Linked DNA regions of Neurospora crassa OR74A. The main gene of each other region encodes a partner of the protein of the gene in region 2 in a complex. Links are inferred from orthologs where the notes say so. Each region holds a gene or a part of one and is shown on either strand. Other genes may lie near its edges. The genes, in order: NCU03766, NCU07683, NCU01601, NCU09512 and NCU03085.

The links.
Region 1: NCU07683 (region 2) and NCU03766 share a complex: the UniProt entries of both Saccharomyces cerevisiae proteins name them as parts of the spliceosome U4/U6-U5 tri-snRNP complex. The link is inferred for Neurospora crassa OR74A from reciprocal best matches to the Saccharomyces cerevisiae genes LSM4 and LSM5.
Region 3: the proteins of NCU07683 (region 2) and NCU01601 are in contact, whole or in part, in a crystal structure (PDB 4M75), measured with the Saccharomyces cerevisiae proteins. The link is inferred for Neurospora crassa OR74A from reciprocal best matches to the Saccharomyces cerevisiae genes LSM4 and LSM1. Residues at the interface, in NP_011037.3 of Saccharomyces cerevisiae: Met1, Leu2, Pro3, Leu6, Glu18, Lys20, Trp35, Met36, Gly73, Thr74, Ile76, Lys77, Phe78, Ile79, Lys80, Leu81, Gln82, Asp83, Ile85, Ile86; in NP_012411.1 of Saccharomyces cerevisiae: Val47, Val50, Asp51, Leu58, Asp60, Arg62, Arg69, Thr70, Phe71, Asp72, Asn76, Ile78, Gln80, Arg99, Gly100, Ile101, Phe102, Met103, Ile104, Arg105, Glu107, Asn108, Ser169.
Region 4: NCU07683 (region 2) and NCU09512 share a complex: the UniProt entries of both Saccharomyces cerevisiae proteins name them as parts of the spliceosome U4/U6-U5 tri-snRNP complex. The link is inferred for Neurospora crassa OR74A from reciprocal best matches to the Saccharomyces cerevisiae genes LSM4 and LSM3.
Region 5: the proteins of NCU07683 (region 2) and NCU03085 are in contact, whole or in part, in a crystal structure (PDB 4M77), measured with the Saccharomyces cerevisiae proteins. The link is inferred for Neurospora crassa OR74A from reciprocal best matches to the Saccharomyces cerevisiae genes LSM4 and LSM8. Residues at the interface, in NP_011037.3 of Saccharomyces cerevisiae: Met1, Leu2, Pro3, Leu6, Leu7, Lys20, Trp35, Met36, Gly73, Thr74, Ile76, Lys77, Phe78, Ile79, Lys80, Leu81, Gln82, Asp83, Ile85; in NP_012556.2 of Saccharomyces cerevisiae: Asn28, Gly29, Phe30, Asp31, Asn35, Phe37, Ile50, Lys52, Ala53, Gln54, Leu55, Leu56, Arg57, Ser59, Glu60.

Annotation. Positions count from the first base shown.
Region 1 is NC_026505.1:2,344,595-2,348,505, reverse strand, and holds NCU03766 (small nuclear ribonucleoprotein), read right to left. Parts: upstream 2,084-3,911; 5' UTR 1,970-2,083; coding exon 1,945-1,969; intron 1,867-1,944; coding exon 1,810-1,866; intron 1,730-1,809; coding exon 1,691-1,729; intron 1,612-1,690; coding exon 1,584-1,611; intron 1,517-1,583; coding exon 1,453-1,516; intron 1,396-1,452; coding exon 1,354-1,395; 3' UTR 1,159-1,353; intron 1,083-1,158; 3' UTR 874-1,082; downstream 1-873. Other genes in the region: NCU03767 (mitochondrial chaperone bcs1), read left to right, coding at 1-859; NCU03765 (3'-5' exonuclease/helicase), read left to right, coding at 2,701-2,849, 2,927-3,911. UniProt on the Saccharomyces cerevisiae protein: Component of LSm protein complexes, which are involved in RNA processing and may function in a chaperone-like manner. Component of the cytoplasmic LSM1-LSM7 complex which is involved in mRNA degradation by activating the decapping step.
Region 2 is NC_026504.1:2,247,397-2,251,656, reverse strand, and holds NCU07683 (small nuclear ribonucleoprotein), read left to right. Parts: upstream 1-1,964; 5' UTR 1,965-2,155; coding exon 2,156-2,158; intron 2,159-2,243; coding exon 2,244-2,384; intron 2,385-2,547; coding exon 2,548-2,598; intron 2,599-2,712; coding exon 2,713-2,910; 3' UTR 2,911-3,499; downstream 3,500-4,260. Other genes in the region: NCU07684 (hypothetical protein), read right to left, coding at 3,916-4,260. UniProt on the Saccharomyces cerevisiae protein: Component of LSm protein complexes, which are involved in RNA processing and may function in a chaperone-like manner. Component of the cytoplasmic LSM1-LSM7 complex which is involved in mRNA degradation by activating the decapping step.
Region 3 is NC_026502.1:2,980,455-2,984,525, forward strand, and holds NCU01601 (hypothetical protein), read right to left. Parts: upstream 2,364-4,071; 5' UTR 2,100-2,363; coding exon 1,922-2,099; intron 1,848-1,921; coding exon 1,779-1,847; intron 1,654-1,778; coding exon 1,334-1,653; 3' UTR 1,030-1,333; downstream 1-1,029. Other genes in the region: NCU01599 (hypothetical protein), read left to right, coding at 3,233-3,655, 3,727-4,071. UniProt on the Saccharomyces cerevisiae protein: Component of the cytoplasmic LSM1-LSM7 complex which is involved in mRNA degradation by activating the decapping step.
Region 4 is NC_026503.1:54,853-59,121, reverse strand, and holds NCU09512 (U6 small nuclear ribonucleoprotein), read left to right. Parts: upstream 1-1,729; 5' UTR 1,730-1,893; coding exon 1,894-2,016; intron 2,017-2,126; coding exon 2,127-2,219; intron 2,220-2,376; coding exon 2,377-2,454; 3' UTR 2,455-3,040; downstream 3,041-4,269. Other genes in the region: NCU09511 (hypothetical protein), read right to left, coding at 1-1,310; NCU09513 (GTP-binding protein 1), read right to left, coding at 3,346-3,701, 3,793-4,269. UniProt on the Saccharomyces cerevisiae protein: Component of LSm protein complexes, which are involved in RNA processing and may function in a chaperone-like manner. Component of the cytoplasmic LSM1-LSM7 complex which is involved in mRNA degradation by activating the decapping step.
Region 5 is NC_026501.1:4,492,226-4,496,891, forward strand, and holds NCU03085 (small nuclear ribonucleoprotein Lsm8), read right to left. Parts: upstream 2,978-4,666; 5' UTR 2,498-2,977; coding exon 2,464-2,497; intron 2,307-2,463; coding exon 2,230-2,306; intron 2,124-2,229; coding exon 1,932-2,123; 3' UTR 1,450-1,931; downstream 1-1,449. Other genes in the region: NCU03084 (inosine-uridine preferring nucleoside hydrolase, variant), read left to right, coding at 1-61, 147-319, 382-416, 484-1,449; NCU03086 (HpcH/HpaI aldolase/citrate lyase family protein), read left to right, coding at 3,900-4,083, 4,146-4,238, 4,296-4,321, 4,374-4,666. UniProt on the Saccharomyces cerevisiae protein: Component of the nuclear LSM2-LSM8 complex, which is involved in spliceosome assembly. The LSM2-LSM8 complex plays a role in the biogenesis of the spliceosomal U4/U6-U5 tri-snRNP complex by accelerating PRP24-mediated annealing of U4/U6 di-snRNA.

The DNA.
Region 1 (3,911 bases), on a different chromosome or scaffold from region 2:
GCCGTCTCCGTATGACCGAGAACGGGGCATTTCGCTATCAGGTTTACTCAACGCCATCGACGGCGTTGCCTCGCATGAAGGCCGCGTGCTCATCATGACAACCAACAAGCCAGAGAAGCTAGACGAAGCACTACTTCGACCGGGCAGGGTCGACATCCAGATTGCTTTCCTCAACGCCACGCAGGAACAAGTCAGGGAGCTATTTGAGAGGATGTACGAAGCCGATGTGGTGAACCCAGCCACAGTGACATTTACCCAGGTTGGGAATAAGGTCACAGCTAGCACCACATCGGCAGCTACTACATTGCCTCCAGTCGGTCATTCTCCTCACACGGGGGTTGCGTCCCCGGATGGCACCGGCACAGGCACCGGCACCACCGCTGAGAAGGATGAAGAAAAACAACAACAGCCCCCCATAGACCCCAAGATCGTTGATCTCAAACTCCTCGACGACAACAACCTCCGCAAGTCCTCCATCAGCAGTTGCTCTAGTGACGCAACCGTCATTGGCGAAGAGGACAACGCCGCTGCTCCTCCTCTTGTTCCCATCATCACCGCCGCCGCCGCGGCGACAGCCAAAGACAAGGGGAAACAACAAGAACCAGCAGAAGAAAAGACGGAAAGTCCCGTCCCTCTCCACATTACCCCCCTAACTAGACAAGAACTCCAAAAGATCGCCAGGGAGTTTTCCCTGAGAATCCCGGCATCCCAGATCCTCAGTCCGGCGGAGATCCAGGGCTTTCTGTTGAGGCGCAAGAAGGACCCCAGAAGGGCGTTGGCGGAGGTGGACAAGTGGGTGGAGGAGCTGGTCAAGGCGAAGGAGAGTAAGAGCAAGATTTTGGATGCTAAGGCTATTTGAAGTGTGGTGGTGGTTGAATGTTGGTTTGGTAGTTATGGGTTGTGGAAGAGAGCAAGGACGGCTGGTTGGGTGGTGGGGTGGGTTTGGATATTCAATGTTGCTGGTGCTCCTAGATCAGGTGAGTTGCAACAACAGGCAGCCATTTTCTTGCTTTGTTTCTCAATTGAAGAGGTGATCCAAAAGCGCTTGGTTAAGGTTAAGAGGAACTGCTGATCGTGCTAGCCTAAGATAATTTTTTTTGGTCAAGTCGGGTCAAACAAACAGTATGAAATATGATGGAGGATTATAGTTCAACCTACCTCATGTGAGCTGTGTATGGCAGCAATTTCCTTGGAGGTGTTTTGGAATCAGTCTGAATTACCTATTATTATTGACTTCTTCTTGAAGTGACCGACAGAGGGCAAAGAAACGTCCATTCGTATTTCGTGATATGCTGATGATGATTGCTTCTTCCTAACGCGGCCATGCCTCATGTATCCTCTCAAGCCTTCAAATCAGGCAGATGCCGCAATTGGGCCTTCACCACCGGGAATCAACTGAGCACAGCTGTTAGTTGTTTGTAAACGCGAGCTTTGATGACGATGATGACCCACCATGCAGATGTTGTTGCCGTTCAACAGGATCTTCTTCAACTTGGTGTGGTTGCCGGAGTAGTCGCTGATCGAGCAGGAGTGAAGTTAGTAATGTCCTTCATGAACTACTTCCAGAGTAGGACGCGTCGTACAACTCAGTGACGTCCTCCAAAACCATGTCTATTTGAAAGTGAGTTAGCATAAGGCTCCGTGGGACGATATGAAGACAGGGGATGGTGAGGAGAGGCCCGCTACTTACTAACGTAGTCATCGAAACCAACAAGAGTGCCAGCGAACTCTGTTTTCATTCCATCATCAGTCAGCACATCCATCGATAAGTCAAAATCCAGCAGGGACAGCTAGGATGGCATAACGTGCCCTTGTCTCCCTTCATGACAACCCAGATGCGGGAACCAACACACTTGTCGATGAGCTCTGGGGAAAAAAACCACGTTAGCTGTCTTATTCTTGGATACCTAAGTAGTGGTGCCCAGCATGAGCTCTCTCACTCACCGAGAGGAAGTAATTGCGAGGCCATGTTGTATGTGGTGTGGAATGGTCGAGTCTTTAGGTAAGTCTGGATGTCGAAAGGGACGTTCAGTGGCTGTTCACTGAGCTTCGATTGTGAGGCCAACAAGGCGACAGGGCGTACGTACTAAGCTGTTGTACAGTGAAAAAAGATCAGTAATTCCCACAGTATCAGCGTGGACTCGGATTCGTTCTTGGCGCAGCTTATGCTTGTACCCATGCATATGAGAATAAACGGGGTATCTACCTAGGCTTCAGCAGCAGCAACTCGGCAGCGGCTGGACGTCGTGACAGCGCTGCTGTTGCAGTGGCAACCGAATCAATTAGTTCACATCGACCCTTCCTTGTGAACAAAGCAAACAGTTCGTTTGTGATTTCAGTATTCGGAGGCAACCAAATACGTTCGCGTTTCTGCCTGCCAGCAGCCAACGTTGCCCGTGACAAGGTATTTCTCGGTCCAATATTTGTTCAACTTGAAGTTTCAACGTCCACTCCGTCTCCGACTTCTTCTCTTGGTTCCCCCACTTTGACCGAACCAACATTCATATCAGTGCCCTGAAACCACCAAACACCTTTTCGTCTCGTTCCCCTCTGTCAGCATTCAAACGAATCGACAGGTCATGGCGCAGTTCTCTGGGCCTTGACAACCTGCAACATTACTTACTACCTACCTACCTCTACCACGCATACCTCCCACGCACTCGGCAACTTTGTGATCTGCGCTTGCCATCCATCGCTATAATGAGGTCCCCGCACCCTATACCACAAGCCATCGGCGCCGGTGCCAACGCCGTAAACAGCACCACCAGCTTGACTCTGAGGCAATGCCGGCGGCGTTTCTTTGCTTCTTCGCCCTCATCCTCGGTTCCTTCCACATCCCGTTATCCAGTGTAGGTTCACTGGCTCTTCCAGGTCCTTACTACTTCTCCGTATATTTTTGGCTGACCAGGGTTTTACACAAATCAAGACATCTTGGCGCCATGGAGAGGAAAGATCAGACGTGGAATTCAAGCCGGGGCATTACGTTTGCTGGCGATAGTCGCGGCAGCGTTGGATACCCGCAACTGCCATCTTTGGCAAGATATCACAGCGACTCTGCGGTGTCAGCAGCCTCAAACCCGGAACCTGTTCTTCCGCCCAACCACGATGGTGTCTTCAACTCCACAGGTGTACCTCAGGGAAATCCTGACGCGAATGGAACGACGTTAGACTCCCAGGGGCAGGAGTTTGTTGATGCACAGGAAGGGCTGGAGGAACAGTTCCAACTCATACTCGAGGATGGGAACGTTGAGTCGAAAGATGAGGATGCTTCTCTCAAGCCTCCGTTTACACCACTCAGCTTCACCATGTCCGAGGATCTCTTCAAGGAGGCGAAGAAGGCGGCCGAGGGCACTCCAAAGTCTTACTGGACTTACAACCTCTATCGTGGGCCCGACAAGGATGGAAACATGAACGAGAAGGTCAAGGTCCATTACTGCAGAAGTGCGACCACCACTGAGAGGGTCTTGAAGCAGTACTTCATGGATGAGAAGATTCTCGGTCTTGACTTGGAATGGGAAATCAGCGCAAAGGAGAGCCACGGCCCGAGGCAAAACGTGTCGGTTATCCAGATTGCTTCGGAGAAGCGTATTGGAATCTTTCACATTTCGCTCTATCCGAGGAAGGATGAGCTTGCTTCTCCGTTACTCAAGCAAATCATCGAGGACGCCGATGTTGTCAAAGCCGGTGTCTGGATCATGGGCGACTGCACCCGTTTGAAAACGTTCCTCGGGATCGAAGCAAAGGGAATTTATGAGCTCTCTCACTTGTATAAGCTCGTCAAGTACTCTGCTTCCGGTGAGCACAAGCTTGTCAACAGACGCCTTGTCCCGTTGGCAACATTGGTAAAGGAGGTCCTCCAGTTGCCAATGTTCAAAGGAGCAGTCCGGACAAGTGAATGGTCCAAGCCCCTG
Region 2 (4,260 bases):
TTCGATTCCCAGCTCGTCCACTCTTTTGTTCTTTTTGCCGTCCTTCCAACCTTGTTTGTCATCTTATTTGATGGTCTGGTTGCCTTTTTGCTACTATAGTCAAGACTTACACGCCTTTTGTCCGTCCACTATCGTAGCTTGAGACCGAAAATACTGCGGTTGCGCGCGAAAGTTCTACCTCTCTGTTAGGTACTCTACACGAACCACATAGCCAAAGCTTCGTGAACACTGTGTTCGACAGGTCGATCCACGGGTTTAACTAACCCATCCCACCATGGTAGGAAGTGTTCCGAGAAAGTAGAGCTACTACCAGTGAGCACTGATGCACCAAGAAGGATATGAGACGACTAGAGACTTTCATCTTACTCGTAAAGTCATACTTCTTGGTAGACGAACGGAAGAGATCCTAGAACGTATCCGCTCGCGAACTTCTGTAGAACCTGTCATTTATTTTCTATGTTTCCATTCTGACTGACATCTTTACACATGCTGACACCCGTTACCAAGATCAGAACAATGAGCCAAAGTTATTTCCAGTCATCTTCTACTCCGAGCTGACCGGCATTTATGTTATTAAGGTTATATAGACGGGAAGCCAATATGAACTTTGGTTACAATTGAGGAACAATCTTGTCTTTATGTCATTTACATATCACAGTGAAATCCTCTTTCCCCCTTGTTTCTACCAGGTCTTGTTCTCGACTATAATGAACACGGCCAGGGCGCGTTGTCAAAACCAACTGAGCCATCGAAAAAGAAGGTTTGTGTAGGGCGTTCTACATGTCATTAAATCAACGGTCCAATATGCGAGAAATCCTCAAACTGTGACACTTACCGTTACTCTGAGGGGCGCGAGTTCACTAGGACACTGGGCTCAGAGAAGACAGGAGACACGGCAGATAATGAGATAAACAGCAAAATCAGTGAAGAGCAGGATGCGTTTCCTTGTTAGATCCCACTTATTACAAGGCTCAACAAATCCCTTCGAAACGATACATATGATAGTGCTATAGCCTCAAGTTCCAAACTATCTTTATCAGTCCACTGTTCAACAAGAGCTGCAATAAGGACTGGCGGGTGACTTTTTGGCAATGAATTACTACAGTCTGCTAGTACCATAACACGCACTCTACCTACGACAAATATACACTAGATATGGAGGTAAAGTCTAATGTCTCATTAGTGTCCGAGACTTCTTATTCAACTTTTAAATGTTGGAGGTCAATTAGTCCGGCTATCATTTTCTATATTCAACTCGGGAGCCTCAACTAAGCTTAAGCGTCGTTTGATAGGAACTCTCCTCAAGGGATATGGCAAACTGATTCAACATAGGCGCTTGACATGCCCATGAGTTACAGAAGACTGCGGGGAGTTCTAACTTTGAGCTCCAGCTATAGGGCGCAAAGCGCAAACACTGCATTACTCATTCAGGGCGTGTGGCTCAGTTGGTAGAGCGTTCGCTTAGCATGTTTCACAGCATGCGAAAGGTCCTGGGTTCGATTCCCAGCTCGTCCACTCTTTTTGACTCGATGTCTCTTTGCTCCCGCACTTTTCTTGAAATTACTTGGATCTGGATAACAGTATTTCCAATTGCAGTGAGAACCCGTTTTTTTTTTACTTACTGCTACTCTGAAGCTTTAGATAACAAATATACGTGGGATATTATTCCTTTTTGGCTGTCCCACCTTTTCTGTACACTAAGTATAGTGTATCTCGGGTTGCCGGTTGGCTACAGTCGAACCCCCTGAAACTGCATGTAATCCAGACCGCCAAAATCCATGCACTAAATGGCGTATATGCAGTTTCTGGAGGCGGGGCTTGGGCAAAAATGGCGGATTCAGACCTGGAAATTCTATGCACTAACTAGCATATATGCAGAATCTGGAGTATGCAGTTTCAGGGGGTTCGACTGTATTTGATTTTCGGCTCCCAGATATCCTGGTAAACCATGTCATTGCTCCACGCTACATTTGTTACTCCATAAGCTGTTGCGGCCGGCAAGCTCCAGCTACGCCACGGCGCCAGGACAGGCTTCCCGTCGCGGGCGCACTTCCCTTTGGTCACTACATCCAACACGTCAACTTCTCCTTTTGGTCTCCGTCGCAACAACAATAGGCAGCCTAACTAACGGCTGTCGATTTCCAAACTCACTACTATGGTACGTCGAATTCTCATTGCATATAGCGTCACTTCGGTATCCCTCTTGGAAATGTACTAACCTTTTGCTCCCTCGCAACAAACAGCTACCGTTAGGCATCCTCACCGCGGCGCAAGGCCATCCCATGCTCGTTGAGCTCAAGAACGGCGAAACGCTCAACGGCCACTTGATCCAATGCGATACATGGATGAATCTGACGCTAAGGGAGGTTGTTCAGACCAGCCCGGTTAGTGCTACCTCCTACCTCCGTCCCTCCGTCCCTTCGTTCGAGCGATGATGCACAGTGATGATGATGATGATGAGCGAGTGGATGAAACAAGCAATCCAACACGTCGAAGAGAATGTCGGGGACAAGGCAGCTTACCAACGAACTTTACATGACGTAATAGGAAGGCGATAAGTTTGTGAGGTTACCAGAGGTTTACGTCAAGGGAAACAACGTAAGTCTCGACATTGTCCCCTCCCCCTCCTTTTCTCTCTCTTCTTGCCTCTTGCCAGGAAAGGAGTCAACGATCAATCGACCAGCGGTTTCTAATGGTTATGGGGACAAACAGATCAAATATCTTCGAGTACCGGACGACGTGATCGACATTGCAAGGGAGCAGCAACACAGTCAACACGGTGGACACAGAGGCGGCCGCGGCGGCGGACAGAACAGAGGCGATTATGGCGGCCGTGGCGGCCGTGGCGGACGAGGAGGGGGCGACAGAGGTGGTCACAGGGGAGGCCGCGGCCGTGGCAGGGGCGCATGAGGTGGAATTCCATGTTCTTGGGACAGCGAGCGAGGCGCAACGACCACCCAACGTAGGGAAGTACGGCCTTTTGATAATGATACGATCGATGAACGAGAGGCGCGAGGGGCCGCCGCGATTGTGCGTAGGGGTGAGAGGAAAGGGATGGAGAGCATCAGCCAAGAAAGAAACATGGGCTGCATCTTGCACGGTCCGAATGGGCTTTCACACAAAACCCAGGCGGGGTTGAATGGGGCACGAAGACCATCTCCAGCGACAGACATGCATGATGGTTCATGGGCAGTCATCGTGTGGGCTTTTTGGAAGAGGCCTGGCTCGGACACATAGACCGGACTAGGTGTTCGATGCATCAGCATGGAATTTACGGCACGAAGGATATGACTATTTTAAAGCAAAAGATACCCAAGCTTGAAGTTCCTGGTTGATTTTCTCTTGCACCTAACACAAAAGGCACATTGTATCGCATTATCGTCATTTGAGAGATTCTTTTCCGTTATCAACAAGCATTGAAAGGATTACAAAACTGGCGGCGTCCTGAGACCTCCATGTCACACAAAAATGATGCACTTCGCGGGCGACTTGTTGCAGCTTTTGAGGCAACGAAATAATTGCCCATGGCAAGGAAACAGGTGGTACGGAGCGGCTACAACTATGGAAGGAGTTACTCCAAAAAAAAAAAAAAAAAAAAAAAAAAAAAAGAAGAAAAAGAAGAAAGAAGGAAGAAAAAAAAAGAAATTAGAGGAAAAAACTCAAAAGTTGAGGTCGTACCCGGAATCGAACCGGGGTTGCCGGAATGTTCTGAAGGAAATCAGAATCCGGAGTGATAACCGCTACACTATACAACCTTGTGAGTTGTTTTAGTTGATTTGTTCACTCGCCTGATTCTCTTATAATGACCACTACCAGATTCTAGCAAGCCATTGAACTAGTTATATAATCTCCATTCCGATGCTTTTGAGTATTTCAGTAATTCTTCTTTTTTTTTTCTCTTTTTTCTTTTCTTTATCAAGCTGCAGATGCGCTCGATGTTTTGAGATCGCCAGCATCCAAAGCCTCTTCATACGCTGGACGCACGGCGCCCATCATCGTGGTCTCTTCTTGCACTCTTTGATCCGACACAACTGTCTCCTTTGGCATCTCGGCAAGCAACTTCTTGATCTCAATCTCGAGGTCGATCTTCCTCTCCCTGGCCACATCAACAACTGCCCACGCTCTGGGATCCATCTCGTTAAAGCAGCGCTTGAGCAGCTGGACCAAAGTCGGGTGACTGATCCACATGCGCCTCGAAGAATTCCTCGCCAAGGGCGCTAGCTCCATTTGCGCCAGGTAGTTGAAGGCGGTGTTGAGGTC
Region 3 (4,071 bases), on a different chromosome or scaffold from region 2:
CCGTACAGCTGTCGTTGGGTGGTCCATCGTTCATGTTTGAAAACACATGTTGCACCGGGATGGTGGAAGATTCATCTCGAGGTTCTCCCACCGAGCTTCTTCGTTCACAACGACGCCAATGCACCCCGCAATCAACGACCTTGGGGACAACGGCGACCGGAGACAATGAGAAATAGCTAAATGTCTTTTATGTGTCCAACTTTACCTTCTCCCGGACAGCTATTCCCCTCACTTTCCCCCAGACAATCGGGTGGACAGGCCAATAATGGCTTCACCATGTCGACGATCCATGATTTGCCCTAGGGTGGTGCCCGATTAGATGAGGATGAGGAGAAGGGCCCGCCAAGATTAAGTAACTTGCCCCAAGCAAGTTGAAACTGCGCCGATAAGTATATCATAAAGGTTTGCCTAGGACAATGACCGTGAGATAGCCCAAGTGAGCTTGCACCCGGAATTGTGGCATCTTACCCTCCTTCTTCTTTCTTGCGTTTGCAGACCTTCAAGCCCTACGCCACGCCCTCGACATGGGGCTGGTACAACTTCAGTTTACCCACCACGCCCAACCATACATTCATGGACGACTTCACAGATTTATAGTGGTGGACTTACGAAAGACCTAGTGATGGCCTACAGCCAGCCCAACCCAGCCCACAACGACATCTCCCAGCGGCTTATACAGAACCCTCAGTGGATCAACGTGAGGTACATTGGATTTCCCTATTCCGACCGAAACAAGTTCAACCCCCCCTTTGTTGGCATGTGGAACGCAACCCCCGCAGCAGGTGGTTGAGTACTTGCTGCATATCATCTTTCAGTTTGATGATGCTGGGTAATCGGTTGGTTGGTCATGAGTGCCAACGCCTCATTTCCCGAGCTCGGCGTAGTTATCGATGATGGCGGGTGGGTGGGAGGATGTTGAAGTCGATGGGTTTGTGCCGGCTATGTGACTAGTCCTAGGAAAGAATGTTAGTCGTGGATATCTCTCTGGGCTATCCTTTCCCAACATGATCATAGTCAGTAGTGGCCAGGTTCGATTCGAGGCAATCCATCGAATTGCTAATTTTCTAACGGTAAAATACACTTGGTGTCTTCTTGGGCCGACCTTGGTGTAAGGCTTCATGCGGTCTTCCATTCGTATGAAGTCGCAGCTGAGTGGATAGCATTTCACAATATTCTGCTTCCAATCGCTCATGCCATTCCCTCCTTCGACACTCCCTTTCCACTTCAGGGGTATGTAGGTATAAATCATAACAAGTTAAAGTTTTGGTCGTCTCTCCTCCCGTCTCTTTCTTTCCGTCCCATTTGTAAAATTTGAGGGTGATTCATATATCATTCACAGAAGCGCCTCGCCTACGTTCTCCCCTTCGAAGCCAATGGTGGAAAGCTTCTTGATCTTGCGCTTCTCCTTGGCCTTCTCCTCGGCCTTTTTCTGCTTGGCTAGTGTCTGCACCAGTTCGAGGTCGGCAGGGTCGTAGCCCGGGGGCGGGTCGTCGTCGCGGTCAAGGTCGATCTCGCCCATGAGGAGAACGTTCTCGCCGCGAACAACGAAGAGGCCCCGGTCGACGTCGGCGTAGAGCCCCCTGGTCTGGGTGGGTGACTGCGTGCCTGGAGGCACGAATATCCTCTCCTTTGTCTGTTGTAGTACTAGGTTGGCTAGTATGGTGGGAAAAAAGTGGATTCGCGTTAACACAGCTACCTCTTCATACTCGTGCTCGTTCGTGCGTGCGTGTATAGGTGGTCATGTGTTGTAAGAGAGAGGTAGGTTCATGGAGGCATACCAAACTGATCCCAACTGCGGAGGATGCCCGTGAGCTTTCGTCCGTCGCGCAATGCTACCATTAGCTTCTCTGTTGGTACCCCGCCGCTCGTGTCAGCCTAGTTCCTCCCGTCCAAAAGATATGTCCACAATATTGCTTCTTACTATCGGTCAGGTCGAGGAGTTGGGCAGCTGTGGTGAACATTTGCGCGGGCAACTGCTGGGGCTGGGGAGGACGGCCGCCTCCTAGGAGTCCCGGCGGGGGCATGCCGGGTCCAGGCTGGCCGGGGCCCTGAGGGAAGGGCGGCGGTGGGGGTTGATCGTTTATCGAGAGGTGTTCCATGGTTGTGTGCTGAAGATGGCCTATGTCTTCTAGTCCATCTGTAAAGTTTCGGGGGGTGTCTTCAAGGTTGTTGAATGGGAAGCGGGATGCAATGATGCGATGGGACAGCTGCCCGCCCTGACGTTGCCTGCCCGCACATACTACTACCTACCTACTGCGTACATACCTACCTTAGTACATAGCTGCTGCCCTGGGCTGCCCTGGGCTTGCTCCGCTGTTTGTGCAGTTCACCCCACTTTCACGGTGAGAGGCAGCGACGAGAAGTGTGTTCCTTGAAGGACAGCCCGAGTCGCACAGATCTTTTTACCACTCTACTTACACGGCTCCTGCCATAAGCTTTTAGTGGATGATTCCAGCTTCCTTCCGGCAGGCAATTTGCGTATATGTACATGATACAAGTCAGCCACATCGCAGGTTGAGCCACAAGACGGAGCGAATCTCAGCTTTATCCACTTCAGCAATCAGCTCGGCTCATACAAACCTATCGCTGCTTCCTGCGGCAGACTGCTCTCGCTTAGGTACAGCGCCTGTGCGGTGGAGCTTCCATGATCACCGGACTGTATGTCTAGTCAGTAAACACTGCCAGGGCAAGGTGAAACCAAGCGCTGTGCAGCAACCTACAGTATTATTCAACCCGGTGGCCGGACAATGAGCCGACGGGACCTGCACTGACCTCCCTGTGCTGGTTTGCCTGTACCTACCTAGGTAGTGCCGCACTGCATTCTCCGGTCCTTCTGCTTCGGCTCAACCTGCTGTCAACCCCATTTCATTCTGCCACTCCATATTTCTCCATCTGCACCATACGTACCCTCGCTGTCGACAATTATACACAAAAGATCCCATGAGGACTATGTCCAAACCCGCTTCGACCACCAGAAGCCGTTCCTTTTCTCTCGCCCTTGCGCTGTAACCATTCTGCGCGCCCGTCCATCGGCGGACGAGGGCAGCTCTCTTCCCGTCGTCCAGTCGACTTTGACTTACTCGTCCTCTAGCCTCAAATCTCTGCACTGGGGCTCTCTTTTTTCCGCCCACCAGCCTCGCCTTGAGGTTTGCCTCGCCTGGTCTTACCTGGTCCGGATACAATAAAAAAGCAGGCAACCAAGAAACATATTTACGAGGACCCCCCTTTCGCCATGGCTTCTACCGACGTTACCATGGCCGACGCACCTTCCGGGCGGCCTGATCGCCGCTCCAACGCTTCTCCTCCTCCCGGTCAGTCACAGTCACAGTCTAAGAGAGACAAGCGACGCCAAATGCTTGCCGAACGCATTGCAACCCTTTCCGACAAATGGAGCAAGGACAGAGACCAGGCCTTTCGCGAACAACTACAAAAGATTCAGATTGACACCAGTCTGGTCATGCGAGTCGACCCCTATGTCGATCGACCTTTGGACAGCTTCGAAGAGGATCAGAGACGACTCAACCAGCTCAATGGCGCCGACTCCGACGGTGGTCCACGATCCCTCCTTGACATGGCTGGCCCCAAATTTGCCAAGTGGATGGAGAACGTACAGGATCTTGCAGAGCAACGCGATTATGCTCTCACCAAATTTAAAGTACGTCTCCCGATCATAACCGTTCAACGCTCCGCCAGTCAAAGTGCCAATGCTGACTCTTGGTTCCGCAGTTTGACTACGAGAAGAAGATCGCCGAATACCTCAATACGCATGCCTATAAGACGGAGCTTGCGAACAGAGAACACAAGGCGCTTGCCTCGACCCTCCGCGACCGACTGATCAACATCATCACTTCGAAAAAATACCGGCTCAACAAGGAGAAGGAGGCCCTCGAGATTGCCGATGCGTCCGCACTCCTCTTACACCCCAACCAATTCAGCATCACAAACCCAGCCAGCCCCGGAGGCACACACGGCAAGCGGGCCACCCGCCTGCGGAGAGAAATGGAGGAGATGAACGGCATGGACAGCAAGAAAAGAAAGCGCAACATGAATGATGACGACGGTTCTCCAGCG
Region 4 (4,269 bases), on a different chromosome or scaffold from region 2:
ACTGATGGGGGAATCGAAAGGCGGTACACGGCAGAAACGTGGTCGAGCATCTTGCACGCCATGGCTATCATGCCGTTCGACCCATAACAGGTGGCGATTGTCTGCAAAAGACGGGTGGTAGGAGCCATGGGCGAGCCAGGCAGAAAGTCTCGCCGCCCGCCGGTGATCTTCAAGTCGCCGGTTTCGATGGAGCCAGAGACATCAATCTTGTAGTTAAAGTATAGAACGGACTGTACGTCTTCCATTACCCCTGTCCTGGCGTAGGCGATGAGAGCAGCGCAGACGAACTCTTCTGACAGTAGATGTAACCGGTTTCGCGCGGTGCCAAAGACGAGATCGACGGGTGAAGTCCGCCGTAACATCCTCATCAGATAATCCACCTTGTGCTCTGCGCCAGGATTCTGCCCAAACCTGTCCAGCCGCTTGTTGGTCTTGTCAAAGTTCATCTGTCGCAGCTGAGACAAGTTGTCAGGCGTGAAGTACGGCAGAAACCGCTGCTCGGGAAAGAGGTTTACAGGCTTGACGCGGAAGTCATGCCGGTTGTGTTGGGTATACAACGGTTCCGTCAAGAACCGGGCCTTGAGAAATTCGGCATACAGGTCCGTCTGGCGCTCCCACATCTTTTCAGAGACGTTCATGTGGAACCAGATCTTGCGAGCCAAGAGGGGGTCCGAAATCGATCCGGCGCATCGCAGCAGGACTTTGTAGTCGGACAAAAGAAGGGGAGAACCCGAGCGGAATCGACGAAAGGCAGCTTCGTGAACTAGGGGGTAAAGGTCGGTGTTTCTTTTTCTGACGCCGTAATTATTGACCAGAGCCCCCAAAGGGGACCAATCGGCCATGGCTGGGTCGACCCATATGTCTCCTAACGGATCTTGGTCTTTGTGAACGGCTTCGACGGGGTCAACGGAGCGGAGAAGTTCGCTGAATGCTGTTGGTGGAAGTTGAAGGATCTCGAGTTTGTTCTCCTTGAAATAAGTGAGCATTTTGTGGGGTTGTCTGAAGGCCGCGGTGAAGCCGTCTATCCAAGGCGACCGTTTTGTCACAGGTGGCTTCTTTGCGACGACGGGTCTTGCGAGAAGGGTTCGGAGGAGGAGGAGCTCATCTTGCTCGAGGGGCTGTCGAGGTCCGTCAAGTTGGTGACCGAATCCATGGTGGGCAAAGTTGCCTGGGTATGGAATTGCTGAGATGGGTTTTGCTGTTTGGGTCGTAGAATGGGGGAGCTTCTGGAGCTTGTTGACGGCGGAGGCTAGTCGTCGAGATTTCGGAGAAGGAACTCGAACCCCACGACAGGAGAGAAGGGCAGCCATTGGGTTGCAAATTGGGGTTGACGGCGTTGTACACCACCCCCATTGGCGACTTTCGTCCGCAATTGAAGCTCGGCCGTGGTGTTGAAGGGGAGCTGAGTGCCCTGGTGGGCGTGCCTAGGTACTAACTGAAGTCGAGGTGTAAGTCAACCCCGCTAACTCAAAGAGGAGAAGTGCGATGGATCTCGCGATGCCCGCCTTTGCAAATCCGGGGAAGGCCTGTTGTCACTTTGGGCGCCTGTTCCTGCCAAGACCTTGCCCAGCCGAAGCTCTGGCATAAGCGTTTAAGAACCGGTCAAGCTTCCACTTCGGAAGCGGTCAGTGCGTCGGGCTGCTTCAGTTGCTCTTGGCATGCGACCAGCTGGCACTGACCTCAATTCGCACCGAAGCGAGCGCTTCCAATCGGGCAGGCATGGAAACCCCCCGCCGTCCGTCACTGGCACTGGACTCACTCATCATCGTTCCAGGGCGCTGCAGCTGAGGTCCCCGCCATCAACAACAGGAACACAACGCCAACTTCATTTTTTTTTCTCTCTCTTCACTCGTTATTTATTTTTGGCTCTTTTGATATCACACATCACACAAAATGGCCGACGCAGTAGAAGATGCCGGCTCTGTTTCCGAGCCCATGGACCTCGTCCGCCTTTTGCTTGACGAGGTTGTCTGCGTCAAGCTGAGAGGTGATCGGGAGCTCAAGGGCCGTCTGCACGTAAGTCCACTCTTATGTTTACATATCCCCTTTTCAGTCGTCACATCTTTCCCGTTACGCCTCACTCACCACCACCCGAACTCATTGCTAACTCGGATACTGTGATGTAGGCCTACGACTCCCATTGCAACCTTGTCCTCGGGGAAGTCGAAGAGACCATTTACGTCGTGGATGATGAAGATACCGAGGAGGATGACCTGAAGGTATGCCATCTTTTCACTTACCCACCGCCACTCTCTCGTCAAACCACCTCTCACCCCTTTCCCATTATACCCACCCTCCTTCCCCTTTCCTTCTCATACCTCGTTTGTCTTTTTTGCTTTCCCTTTCCGTCACTCTCATATACTAACAAAAAGGCAGACCATCTCCCGCAAGTCCGAAATGCTCTTCGTTCGCGGCGATTCCGTCGTGCTCATCTCGCCCTTTACCCGTTCTTGAGAAGAGGCCGTGTATGTGGAGCGACCAGTTGACGAGCACGATTTCCGCCACCGCTACGGCATCAAACCCTTCTCCGGTGGCCCGCTTGGCCAGGACCGGTTGCCCATCGGCAGGTGGAACTTATTGCACGTGGCGGATGAGGCGCAGTTTTGGGAGGGGGTAGATAGGGAAGAGGAGGAGCATTTGGAAGAGAAGGGAAAGGAAACGGCAACGGCGGAGGGTTCTGGACAGTCAGCAGCCGAAGGTTTGTCTCAGTGGGAGTTGGACATGGGTCGTCGCTAAGCCTACCTACCTAGGTGGTGGCTACCTCAAGGTCGAGAGGGGCGGCGCTTACAAAGGAAACCGGTAACCAAGCTTCGGGAAGAGGATAGGAGAGAGATACAAGGAGAGAAGTTGGCTTGAGATGTGACTATCACCGTCATCACATCACGTTCATCGTTTGTCGTTAGAGCCGAAAGATAGATCACGGCACAGATATACCATTGTTATTCCCGGCCATGGAGCATTGATAGCCAGGCAATCTCCTTCCTCCTGAGGAGGCTGAAAAGGATCGCTCGTACAAAGAATACAGTACGTTGCTCAAGAATTTTCATATGTTCATTTGAGAATACCTGTAGGTCACTCATCTTCCACCGACACATACAAAAGCCATATCGTCCATGATACTACTACTACTACTACTCCTACTACTACTTGAATATCTGCAAGTAGTGGGTCACCACTAGTTCTGTACTGTGCCCTGACTGCGCCGCTCCGTATATGAGCCATCAAAACGAGGAGATGAGGCCATGCATCAAAGAAAGTATAAAGAAAAAAAGGTAACGCGGCCCCCAACTTGGGTCATCACAACATCATCTGCCCAACGCCAAATCAGCACCAGGTGCCAGGTCACTAAGCACCAACCTTCACCTCGTTACCGCCACCCTCATGTTTGACATCTTCAACGCCCGCAGCCACCTTATCACCCCCTTCACCTACATTAACCCCGCCCAACGGCCGTTCAGGATCATACCCCACACTCTTGACGATACCCAACCCCTTGGTTCTGCCTTCTCTGAAGAGAAGTCTGTCTCCCGGGACTAGGTATTCGGGTCTCTGGACAAACCGAAACGCGACGGTAGCCCGATCGCCGGTCCTGATAAACGGACGATCAACGTCGATGATGGCGCATGTCTGGGAGACGGGGCCGACATGAAGCATGGCCTGGTATTTGGTTTTGATGGTGGTTGCGTGGGAGAGGATGAGGACTAGTGCACGTTAGGATACATACAGAATTTTTTGAATGGCACCAAGGGGCAGAGGAAAGTAAAGACAAAAGGAAGCGCTGTGTTTACTTACCTTCAGCAATGAACTCCCGATACACCTTCGGCGGTCCACTTTCAGTCTTGGAGAGCACCACCATTCCCTTACGAACGTCCTTTCTCTTGACCCTCTTCAACGCGAAGCTGGCTGACTGTCCCGCGCTCGCCGCCGGGACGCCTATCCTCTTCCGCTCAATCGACCTGATGGCCGTGGTCGTGAACTTGCCCAAGCCATCCGGCCCCAGGTAAACCTCATCACCCGCATGGATGACCCCCGACTTGACGATTCCCGAGACGACCGTGCCGACGTGGGGGACGCTAAAAGTGTCATTGACATGAAACTCGAAAGGCGCGTCGGCGTCGTACCGTCCATGGTGCGGCAAGATGTTGAGGAACGAACGGACCAAGCTCAAGTTCTCGCCTGTTACATTGCTGACCTGGAAGATGGGGCAGATGCGCTGGGAGACGAACTGAGTGGCCGTGTTGATGCATTCCTCATGGTTCTTGATGAAAA
Region 5 (4,666 bases), on a different chromosome or scaffold from region 2:
CACCTGAGGAGCTTGAGCTTGCTATGATCTCCGTCACTTATGGCAATGTTCCGCTTCAGAGGTATGTATGGATGGTCATGAAAAATCCCGGTCCGGGTAGCGGCAGCTTTTGTCTGACCTCAAGTTCCTTTCTTCCCGTCCCGCAGCTGTCTCCGCAACGTCGTGGCAACGTTCCACGTGCTGGAAAAAGAGATGAAGTGGCGCGAGGAGACAGGCAAGAGCACTCGCGGCTTCGGTGCCCTCAACACCCATAAACCCATTGTCGCCGTTGGTCCGGAGCACGCGCTGGAGGATGAGATCCTCGCGGCCGACCACTTCCGTAAGACAGACTGAGACCCCCACCGCTTTTCCCTCAGAAACAAAGCAGTTAACAAATTGCAGATGGTGCCGACGGTTTACATGGTGTCCACGAGAAGGTAAGTGAACTCCGAGGACTGCGTTGCGTTTCTTGTCATGGTACGTTTGACCTGACCACCGCCCCAGCAACCTCATCTTTCCCCCGCCGACACCTGGCGCTCTCTATTCAGCGACGAAGAGCCCCAGGGTGAAAAAGTCGAGCCTCCTTCGTACTCCAAGTACTTCACCCCAAGCAAGGCTCCAGCGCACAAGGAGATTCTCCGTGTCCTGAAGGAATCGCCCGAGAACACCGTCACCGTCGTTGCCGTTGGTCCCCTGACAAACGTGGCGCTGGCCGCTGCTGAGGACCCCGAAACCTTCCTGCGCGCCAAGGAGCTGGTTGTCATGGGTGGTGCCGTAAACGTCGAGGGCAACGTGACCCCCGTCGCCGAGTTCAACTGCTTCGCCGATACCGTTGCCGCCGCCCGCGTCTACGCCCTGACCTCGCCCAACCCGAGCTCGACCATGCCCCCTGTCATCCACGGCAAATCTTTTTTGCCCCCTTACCCCGCCAAGCTTTCCAAGCAGCTTAAGCTGACCCTTTTCCCTCTTGATATCACCACCCCGCTCGAGCTGAGGAAAAAGTACTTCTACGAGACCATCCAGCCGATCACCAAGTCCGGCAGCCCGCTTGCGCTGTGGATCGAGACCTTCATGACAGGCATCTTCAACAAAGTCGAAGCCATGCTTGGCGACGGCAGTGAGCCCGGTCTGTCCCTCCATGACCCGGCATGCATTTGGTACATGTTGACCCAGGATGACCCCGCATGGGAACCCGTGGCGAAGCCGGAAGATATTAGAATTGAGACCTCCGGCCAATGGACCAGGGGCATGCATGTCATCGACAGACGACAGAGGGCGAAGCCGGGTGAGCAGTCAAGCAAGGTGGAGACGCATCCGTCGGATCCTCTGGATGCGACCACCTTTGACGATGTCCCCGGAGACGACATGGGCTGGCTAAGCGTGAACAAGGGAAACAGAATTAACAGGATGGTCAAGACCCCCGGCGACGAGAAGTTTGCCGCCATCTTGATGGATAGACTCTTTGGTTGAACCTGCCGGCAGCACTTGTTGATTTTCTTCTTCTTTTGTATATAGAAAGCGAATCTATTCCACGCGGAGTTTTTGAGATCTGGGGTATCTGAAATCAATATTCGCTGGGTTCCTTAAACCGAGAGCTGGACCTGCCCGTGACACCTTGTTTTATTTTTTCTTCGTCGGTCAGCATAAGTCTTAACGGGGAAGTAAGAGGGGAAGAAAGATCGTCGATTGGGCATACCAATGTAGTAAAAGAAAACCTGTAGCTCCGCGTGTCAAATGCTAATGATGCAACCAAATCTTGTGTGCCACGCACATTATCCACCGGTGTTGTCCTTTATGTCAACTGCCCGCGACCGCCACACCGTTCGACTTTTGTCTTTTTTCCCCTTGGTTTCCTTCTCCTGCCTCCTCTTCTTGGTTTTGAGGGAGCGTGACACCATGCTTCACGCGCTCAGGTATAGCGCAGAAACGGTTCAATGGTTCGGTGGTATATTCTAGTGCTTTGTCGTCCCAATCGTAGCCCCCTTGACTTTGGTCCAGTCTATGCTCTCGTCCAGCGGCTCATCAACCAACCCAACCAGGCAGACCGTGTCCCCGCGAATCATGTGCGTTCCCAGCTCGATCTCGGCCGAGGGCTCGTCATCATCGGGGGAGCGAATGACTCGTTCAACTGCTCTTTGTAGGAACTAGTTTGTTGGAGGGTTAGTTGTCGTTCGCGATATGCTTTGTTTTGTTTATCAGGTGGCAGAGGAACTGTATCGAAGTATGGATTGGGAGGGAGCATATACTGACCACATTCGTGCTCATGTCTACCGAGATCAGTGTGCCTACTAAGGTGCGGCCATCGACTGTAATTATGCAAACCTTTTCTAAAGTAACGAAAGATGGATCTGTTAGCTTTCTGGTCTTGCGAATATCCTTTAACTTTGGGATGCCGTGACCAATTGATCTTGTGACCGAAGCAATGGAGGAAAGAGGAAGAGGGGTCGAAAAAGCCGAAGGGCTCAGGTAGAAGGGTAGACCAACTGTTGAGGTACGAATTTACCAAGCCCGCCGACATGGTGACGGATGAGTAGATGCTATTACTGTAGTCTTTGTGTGTTTTCTCGTACCGGCAATGCGCGGGCCCAAGACCGCGGTGATAAGCAAAGTATCACGTAAAGCCCACGGTCTAACTTGAAGAGTATTGATTCAAGCGAAACACGTGGTTGCAGACAGAAAGTCGTCGGTTCAACTCGAGGGCAATTTGTTCGCTTCGTGTGATCTTGGTAAGCCCGGCCGGATGGGGTCGTTTGGTCGTTCGTCGCTTCGAATGGGGCAATTGGTTCGTGGTTATTGATGTTTTCGTTTCTCGTTGACCGATCGCGAAAGAGGAATACAACCTGGTCGGCGCGCCGCGTCAAAGAAGAATAGTGGGTACGTAATGCTGGCGGGGAGGGATGTGGTTAAATCGTGGGGATGGGACAAGAACGTCGCCGTTGAAGCTGGAGCTTCTCTTGTTCTTCCGTAGAATCGCCAAGCCCAGATCACTGACGACGGCTCACGGCAGACAACGTACCAGCACTGTGGTGAAGGCTGGAGCTTCTGAAGCGGATCCATTCTCCACTCAATTGCCTGCCGCAAAAGCGACGCTCACCCATCAGCTTGCCCCTTTTCATTCGGGAGGGTTGCTTTGTTTACTTTTATCCGCTTTGGGGTGTCAATGCAGCCCTCAACTGTTTTCGGTTGCTGCTTGAATAATTGCCTTCATCATCGTATGGTCTACCATCAGAAATGCAGAGCTTTCTCCTCCTGGAGCTTCTCGTCGCTGACTTGCGGCAGTCTCAAAGAGCCCTATGAAATTCTGTGGAAGCTTATACGTATAGCAGGGCCAAGATGCGGATGTCAACGTCCACCATGGCTTGAAGGACTTCCATGAGACCATTCAAGCCCATTGAACCTGCCGTTCCCGTGACTCGGAAAGTTTGAACATGTCAATAATCCGAATACCGGCAGAGGTTGTGGTGTCTCCAGTCAGAACAGCCTAGGTAGAACCGAATGCGGAGGGAGATACAGACGCGAACCCCGCAGTAGGAGCCCCGCCCTACTGTGTATCTCTTGGACGAAGGCAGGGGACGAACATCTCCCGAAGGTGTACCAAATTGGCCAGCAATTGAACTTGTTCACCCAACGCAGCCAGTACATTTCCTCGCCATCTGCCGTCAGGTTATTACAGTTGACCTCGAGTATGTGGCGGCGGGACCTTGGTTCGGAGCTGCACATCAACTTTGAAATCATAGTGTGTACTGTGTGTTATCGGATTTGCTTTAAAAGAGTTCGGGTTGACTTAGTCCGAGCTTCCACCTGCATCCCCACTGACTTGGCATGCCTTTCCTCCCCTTCGTACGTTAAAACTCCTGAAGCATCATATCTCTTCACTGAACAAAGTCGTTCACGTCACTCCGCTTCACCAACTCCGTACAATGTCTTCCGGTAACCCAACTTCCAAGATGCTGGCGGCCAATTCGTTGAAGCAAATCTTCACCCAGGAAAGCCGCCCTGCTATGGGTGTCTGGCAGATGCTACCCGGGGCCAATATCTCGAGGATTCTCGCTCGATCGGGGGCTGACTGGGTAATGGTTGACTGCGAGCATGGAAACATCGACGGTAGGTAACCCGTAATACGGTGGTGAATGATGGGGCTTGTTGAGCTGAATGATATTGGTCAGATGCTGCGATGCACGAAGCAGTTCCGGCCATTGCTGCCCTGGGCGTTTCTCCTATTGTCCGGATCCCAGACCTTCAGCCATCGATGGTCAAGCGTGAGTGCCATTCGTATTGCCTTATCACTCAGACGGTTACTGATGTACCCTTTACAGGAGCGTTGGATAGTGGTGCGCATGGAGTGAGTGTATAAGAGTATCCTGTGTTGGAGACATTTTTCTGACGTGCTCCAGATCCTTGCGCCGCTCATCAGGACTGTTGAGGATGTCAAAAACTTGGTTACCGCGGCAAAGTTCCCACCCGAAGGCAAGAGAGGGTTTGGATCACCCATCGCTATGCAAAACTTCAACCCCATGCCAACCTTCACCGAATACCTCCAGCAAGCGAACGAGAGTCTCTTGACCATGGTGCAGATCGAGACACAGGAAGCCTTGGACTGTGTTGAAGAGATAGCTCCGCTTGTGGATGTCATCTTTATTGGTCCTTTTGACTTGGGTAACAATATCGGCCACCCGATTATCGAGGG